Linked DNA regions of Drosophila melanogaster. The protein of the gene in region 1 interacts with the protein of each later gene in a pairwise test. Each region holds a gene or a part of one and is shown on either strand. Other genes may lie near its edges.

Region 1 (3,758 bases):
GTAATCATGTGCAGAGAGAAGGCTACGAGGCACACATTGACGCTGGGAGAGGCTGTAAAGCTGTCCAGTGGGACAGCATATGATCTCTAATGCTCCATATTGGCACCTGACATAGTGGCCAGCATGGAATGGATAAGGGTAATTCTTCTGGACATTGGGTGGACACGATCTAAGTGAAGACAGCTGGCTTTGAACATTTCCCCGTAAGTCTTGAGAAGTATAAGTGGTCTGAACTTGGACTTCCTGCCAGAACTGCACCCGATCAGATATGTGCACTTGATGACTTGGAAGACAACTTCTTTGGGATACACTGAATGCCATCTGGGGGCCACAACTTAGGATGGACATTCTGCCACCAGACGAGCACTGAACGTACTTTTTAGCATCGTAGGGATACAAGAAGATGCCGTTGATGTTACCAGGACAGGCATTAAGGATAAGTGCTAGTAAAATATTATCATAAATTCTAGTGTACAGTGATGATAAAGTAACTTACAATACTCATAGCTGATTTCGGAGATAATTAATGTGACATAGTCGGTAAAGGCTAATTGTGCTTTTAACTGACAGTAGCGCCTCGATATGCTAAACACATAATTAGGTTGGCAGTTTTGCACAGCCGATTTACCATCCTTACAACTAAGGAATTTTGTTTGATCAAAGGGATGAACAAATTGGCCAACGGCTCCCACTGGACACAAGAGATAGTTGACCTGAATCTCAGCCGACGTGAAGGAGGAAGCTGTTACAATTCAAAGGGATCAGGATTAGAGTCTATCAACTAAGCAGGCAAGCAAAGCGTGTACAGCGTAATATGAGAAAATAACCCGAAATGAAAAAGCAGATGAATCAAGCGAGGCCAAGCAGTAGGGATAAGAAATGAAATGACACTTACAGGAGGTCCGAGGGGAGTCAGAATACACACATACCGAAGAGGAGCCATCGAAGATGTGGCCCCGTGGACACTGTTCCACCTGAGGCTTAACCCCAATTCCGCACCTCAAATACTTGTGCACGTCGTGCGGATGTGGACGAAGCCCACGTGTACCGGGTGGACAGCCCAAGTCATCAAAAGGCAACGCAGGGTAGCCTAACCGAGTGTTAGTCAAGATTTTTGTATTTAAATCACTCATACGTACCGGTGCCGGAGGTATCATCTCGTACTGCTCCAGTTCCCGATCCGCATTTGGCCAAATCCTTGTGCACACATACCAGTGATGCTGGACTAAAAGCAGTTCCTGGTGCGCAGTCCATAATAAAAGCTTGACCATTGGCGCAGTTAAGAAACTTGCTGCAATCCGAAGGATGCGGTTGCAATCCATTCACTCCCGGTTGACACTTGGGTTCACTATCTAATTGCCTAAGTCTTCCCAGTCGAGTAGATGCAGATTCCGCTGAAGGGCAAACCACATTGCTGGGATGATCGCACACCTGGGTCCTGTCATTGAACAGAGTTCCGGGCGAACACGTCTGAATGGTGGGGCTGCCATCGAAGCAGTTCACATAGCGATGACAGTCGTGGGGATATGCAACCAGACCCGTAAAATGCGGCGGGCATGCCGAATCCCGATGGTAAATAGGCTGCTGCTGGTCGCCTCCGTAACTCGAGTGTGCGTTCCCTGTTGCTGATAAGCCAACTGGTTCCGACTGCTCGCTGTGGTAGCCACTGCCTGATCGATAAGCTTTAGCCCCGGGTCGCTGTCAAAAGCGCAATTATGAAATATTATTGAACAACCGTAAGTAATTAGAGGCAAAATTTAGCTAATAGCTTGTAATTAAGTTCAATTAAAATTAAAGTCTTAAGCGCGTTTTAAATTCCTAAACAACATTTTTAGTTTGACTAAAATCTTAAAAAATTGTAAATAATCTAGAATCTAGATGATATCCTTAAAAAACACAATTTGAAATTATTAATAAACTTTCTACACTAACATCCACTAGCAGGATCGCCAGCCAAAGGCCAAGGAGCCACTTGGCCATCATTTTACGTTTCCGCTTTATAAGTATTTGAATTTAAATATTTCTTAAAATGCACCGATGCTGATAGCAACTACACAATTGTTTTTCTCGCGCTTTAAATTCTTCGTTGTGATCCCGTTCGAATTCCAGGCTCGACTGACCCACACCCAGATCGCATTTCAATTCAATTGGACTCGGGATGAATCTCTATCTCTGCCGCCGCTGATAGATGCTCTCGTTTGTCGCCAAACCAATTGAGTGGACCACACTATCAGGGCTTGTAATCTCAAGACCTTTTTGCTGTCTTATCGCCTTGTTTTGTTTGCATTTCTTTTGGGGTTTTTCACTCATTTATTTACTTCTATGAATCTGAGATGTTGGAGCTTAAGAATGATGATGATGAATTACAGTGGCGCAGTCGCATTTAAACAAACTAAACGTCATACCCAAATTAGACTAGGTGATTATGACTAAGAGACTAGATCATTTGGCTGCCGGCTTATCAGCCGGCGCCCTCTCGGCAAGTCTTAGCCTCTGCTGTATTTTTAGCCAGAGCAGATCGTACGGCTCACTGAGTTCCGTTTGTGTTTTGGGAATTCCCACAGATCGTCGCACTTCCGGCGAGAGGATGAGCAGATTTTGAGCAAGGCCAAAACTGCTGGAAGCTACCCAGTATACACATAAAGCTGAAGGCACTGTACAGGCTACTGGAACCATCACAACACTCAATCCACGGAACACATTGTTGGCGATGTTCTGCAAGCGTGTAGAAGGACGAGTTCTAGACATGGCTTGCACTTCAATGATGGCCAAATTGATAAGACCTAATGCTACAGGCAGGATATAAGAGTTATCCACCACCGTAAGGTTTGGTATCCAACCAAATCCGCCAATGGTCATTTCGGTGGTCACGATTTGAGCTTGAATGGACGTGGGATCCGGCAGCATGTACACTAAATTGCGCAGAGCCACGGATTGAAAGATCCACAGGGGAATCTGACCCCATAGCACAATCATGGTCTTCATGGGATGGCAGTTATCCCGAACTATAAGGTTCTGCCACTGCTTCTTGATCTGTAAGATAATTGACATGACGAAGAGTGTCTCGCAAACATTTGAATTTTAACAAACCGAACGCCGATAAACAATCTGAGTCTGCTTTTCGCTCCACTTGAACTTGTGCTTGGCCATGGCTGCCTCTTTTTTCAGTTCCTCCACAATGGCCGGCATCTCCAGCGCTATCTTTTCAATTCTGGCGGTGATTTTGTGCTGGTAAATGGTCAGAGGCAGGGTGACCACGCTCCGAAAAAGGAAAGTGGACAGCACGATGGACGCCCACCAGGGCAGGCCACTGTAGTCGTGGATCTTAATGAGAACATCCTGCATATAGGCCACCGGCGTGCTGTTGGACAAGGTCTGCCAATATCCCACCAATCCACCGGCATTTGCCAGTTGGACACTCGCGGCCGCCGCTTCTGTAGACGACAGACGATGATTGCATGTGTGATTCGCAATAGTTGTTCCTTGGTATGTGTATTTGTAGATGCCAGCAATTGATGAACTTCTACAGGTGCGTAAAAGAAGCAAAGCTGACATTTTTAATTAATATAAAACTAATAATCAACGTAAACAACTATATAGAATCAGCAGTGCGAGTTGTTATCATTGTGAACAGCTGATTGTTACCATAACACGGCTTCAATCAGTGTGGCCGTAGCTAGGCATTGTAGTTGCATTAACCCTTAACTTACGATGCTTTTTTTGCTATCCGAAATTAGGAAACATTGAAATGCAGTTAT
Region 2 (3,758 bases), on another chromosome or scaffold:
ATTTTTTTACGCTTCTTTCCTTTTATTTCGTTTTGTTTTTTCTTCTGTTGATTTGTTGCCATTGCTTTGGCCAAATGATTTTGTTTGATTTTCCATTTACGTTGAGTTTGTTTATTAAAATTGGCACACACTGCGTATGTGTGATGTGGCCGTGTTTACATTCACCGTCTCCCTTCCACCACCGTGTGGATAAATACGAATACGTATGAGTTATATTTTGATAGCTTTCTGTGTGGTTTTGTATTACCCATCGGCTTTTGATTTGCTTGATTTTTTGACAGGTCTCTGGCATTTGCCTACGACTAACTTTTATTTTTCTTGATTTATTCCTGCTATTGTTATTGTTTAAGTCTCTTTGCAAGGAGGGGCGCTGGCTTTTCCCACATACGATCGAGATTTGGGTCAGGGGGACAGCAAACAATGAGGTAGGCAAGTATATATAGGGTAGCAATAGACTCATGTGTCCATAAACTAATTTAATTTTAGATGCACCTTTCCATGGCAGAAAAATCATTAAAATTTGACTCGATTAATGCGTGTATTTTTGGCGAATTTTTTTTTTGTAAATCATAAAATATTTATGACGAATAACATTTTTTAATCATGTATTGAGTCAGCCCATGAGATGCTAGTTTATTTTAGCTTTCGACAAAATGAATAATATATTAATATATTAAATAAATAAATGCCAAATTAAAATCGGCGATTGACTGGCTGCCAGAAACCAATTTTACTCGATTATTTGGGCAAACATAGTGCTTGTTGCCGAATGGTATGGCGAAAATGAAAGTAAATAAATAAATGCCGGCGTTGATTAGCACATCACAGATTTAAAGTGAGTGGCAGGTTAAGCGGGACTCTCATTGATGATGAGAATTCACAGCTTTTGTTTGCACATTAATTAAACTGTTCCCCCTACTTTGGTCGCAAACAAACGCAGCCAAGTTGCTGCTTCCCTTCGGTAACCTTTGAAAATCAGTTGACAACTGGCTGTCGTCGCCGTTTTCCCTGCTGAGCAGCTCGAAAACATTTTCCCCTGCACACATCTGGCTTTTCAACACCTTGGACAAATAAATGTTTCAGAAGTTTCTTAAAAGCCCGCCCTGCCCCATCTGCCAGCCACTAACGTGATTGGACAGAGGAATGCCTTTTGTCTATTTTTATTGGGGCGGCAACAAGAGATCGGGCAGATCTTCTATATCTTTTCTATATCTGAACGCTTATGTCTGATAAATGGCGGCGGTATATTTACCTTTTTGATTTCATAAATCCAACAATGTATGGCTGCGGGATTGGTCTTTCAGGATGATTTGAATTCAGTTGTGCACTCTGATTAAGATTTGTTGATGTTTTTATTTTAATTTTTGGTTCATTAAAGTTGCGCCAAAGTATGCAAATTGAAATTCCGACAACGCGCTGTCTAATTAGTCACCCAACTAATTTTGATATGCGATCTTTGTTTGAATTTTGTTTTGTTTGGACTTTTTTTTATTCTTTTCGGATTTAAAGTTATTAGCTCATGCATAAATTTGGCATGTTAACACAACAAAAAAGGTTTGTTTTCAGTTTTTATTTCCTCAAAAACTTCTGGAACTTGTTTTGGTTTGAATTAATATTGCGGTGGTTGTGGTTGTTGCGGTTGTGATTGCGCCGCTGGTTTAACTATTGATAATAACTTCGGTACGGTTTTCGCGCATTCTTGAGTTGTGTTTATCTTGGGCCTGCTGGAAAAGCCTCGAAGAATGGATTTTCCGTGAAAACGTGCAAGCCGCGTGTGTCAGTGCGGCGGTACTAATGTGTGCGGCGGTGTGCGTGAGGCCGGTTGCTAAAAATATCTATGAGTGCGCGTCGCTCGCGTTCTGTGTATCTGTATCTCGGAATCTGTATCTGTATCCAATATCCCGAGATGGCATACGAAAATACACGGAGAAAATGCTGCGCTGCGTCCGCCTGCTGCGCTTGTCGGCTGTGCACTGAATAGATATATCTCGCGGATCGCTGGGATGGTCTGACTTGGTTTGGCTTGGGATGCGGTGGCAGCTAAATCAGCTGACTACTGCCCCCAGTTGGCTTTGACTCCGTTAGCCAGGTTAGCGGCTCAGGTGGGCGGCGATGGCAGTGGAAGTCGGACTTTTGGCTCACTTGTCCGCTGCGCTGAGCGTGCGGCGCGCTATTGGAACGATCAATGAATGAAATGCCGCATTAAAAGGCAGCACAGTCTCGTTTTCTCAGCGACGACCAATAAACCGAGAAACCCACTGGCGCTCGCCAACGCCAACACAAAACAGCCCAGCGCACAACACAACACAACACAGCACAGCTCAGCACAAAGTCATTGAAGAGAAACCAGTTCTCTCTTTCCCCAAATATCCACATCCACCCGATGTGTGGGTGCTTTTTGCGTTGGCCGGATCGGATGGGATCGTATCGTATCGGATCGTATCGTATCGTACTGTATCGCATAGTACGGTCCCAGTTGGTCTTTGGCGCACTCTCTTGAGTGATTTCCGATTCGGATGGATTTTCGGTTTCGTTTCGAGTGTTTTGAGTGCTACCACGAGTACGCGTAGACGGCCCCCTGAGATTTCGTATGATCTAATATCGCCAGGCAGTTATTTATTTAAATTTATTGCTAATTTTATTTGCTGCTGCAGCAGCGCTTGACATTCATTTGTACAAGTCAGACATTGCTTGAGCTCACTTGAAAATAGTTAAAAATGTTTATTCGCCTTTGATTGAGATGGTATCAGCTACCAAAGCTTGACTTGTGTCGGATCTCCATTTTTAAGGTTGAACTTTGGTTGCCAGACCATAAATGATACTCATTCTTGGTATTTATTTGGATCAACTTGGATTTCGTGGCGAATTATGAGGCACGTCGAAGTAAAGTTCAAGGAAATCTCCTCATTTGTTTGTCATTTAAGTGTTTTAAGAATGGATGGTGGAATTTTGTTGTTTTAACTTTAATTCATGACAAGTATTTAAAGTATTTCCTGTAAGATAATATAAATATATATAATAACAATTCTTCGAAACGTGGTGTTCAGTAATTTTCAGCAATTTAAATTGTAATTAAAATATTTTTGATGGGTATCTGATAGCCGACGCTTTTGACTCCTGTCCATATATTTGGATTTTATAATTTATTCTAATTCGTTTCGATCAGTTTCAGTTCAGATGTATTGGGTGTGTGCACTTCTCAAGTTGTTTTCACATAGCGTCTAATTTCAAAGTGCTAAGCTGATTTCAAAGTCACAATTCAGTTGTTGGAACCCGATTTTTTTTTATTTTTCAACAAAGAATATTGTTTAGAGTCATGTTTGTATAGTTTGTTTTTGCTTGCATTTTGTTGCTTCGCAAATAATTATAATTAACTGAAACAGGCAAATAATTGCAAAATGGATTTGCTCCTGCAGGCAAAACAAGTTGTTTTCTCATTATTGTAGCTATGACGACATACCCGGCTTAAATCTCGAGTTTGCCCCGATATACTCATATACGAGCATTTGTGAATAAATGACTTCGGGCAATAGACCGATCGACTCTGTGACTGACTGGCGATTAATTTATCTTTGTGCTTCTGTCTTCTGTCTGAAGGCGAGTTCGTCATCGTTTGTCGTGTTTTGTTCTTGAGTAAATAAATCATGATGACAACAGTTAAATTTGATTATGATTCTTTTTTTTTTCATGCCCAGAAAGCATACATTTTTCATGGCACAAGGTCGTCACACATTTTAGGAGAGTGGAAAAGTAACGCA

What was found. Proteins that work in one complex are often made in the same cells at the same time.
Region 2: the proteins of teq (region 1) and tx interact in a two-hybrid assay, tested with the Drosophila melanogaster proteins (one large-scale study listed by BioGRID).

What each region holds. Positions count from the first base shown.
Region 1 is NT_037436.4:9,073,004-9,076,761, reverse strand, and holds the start of teq (tequila), read right to left. Parts: upstream 2,120-3,758; 5' UTR 1,984-2,119; coding exon 1,933-1,983; intron 1,699-1,932; coding exon 1,140-1,698; intron 1,091-1,139; coding exon of another isoform or gene 896-1,090; intron 743-895; coding exon of another isoform or gene 497-742; intron 444-496; coding exon of another isoform or gene 1-443. Other genes in the region: CG4942 (uncharacterized protein), read right to left, coding at 2,443-3,033, 3,091-3,555.
Region 2 is NT_033777.3:26,439,231-26,442,988, reverse strand, and holds the start of tx (taxi), read right to left. Parts: upstream 2,212-3,758; 5' UTR 1,253-2,211; intron 1-1,252. UniProt on the Drosophila melanogaster protein: Probably plays an important role in the differentiation of epidermal cells into the tendon cells that form the attachment sites for all muscles.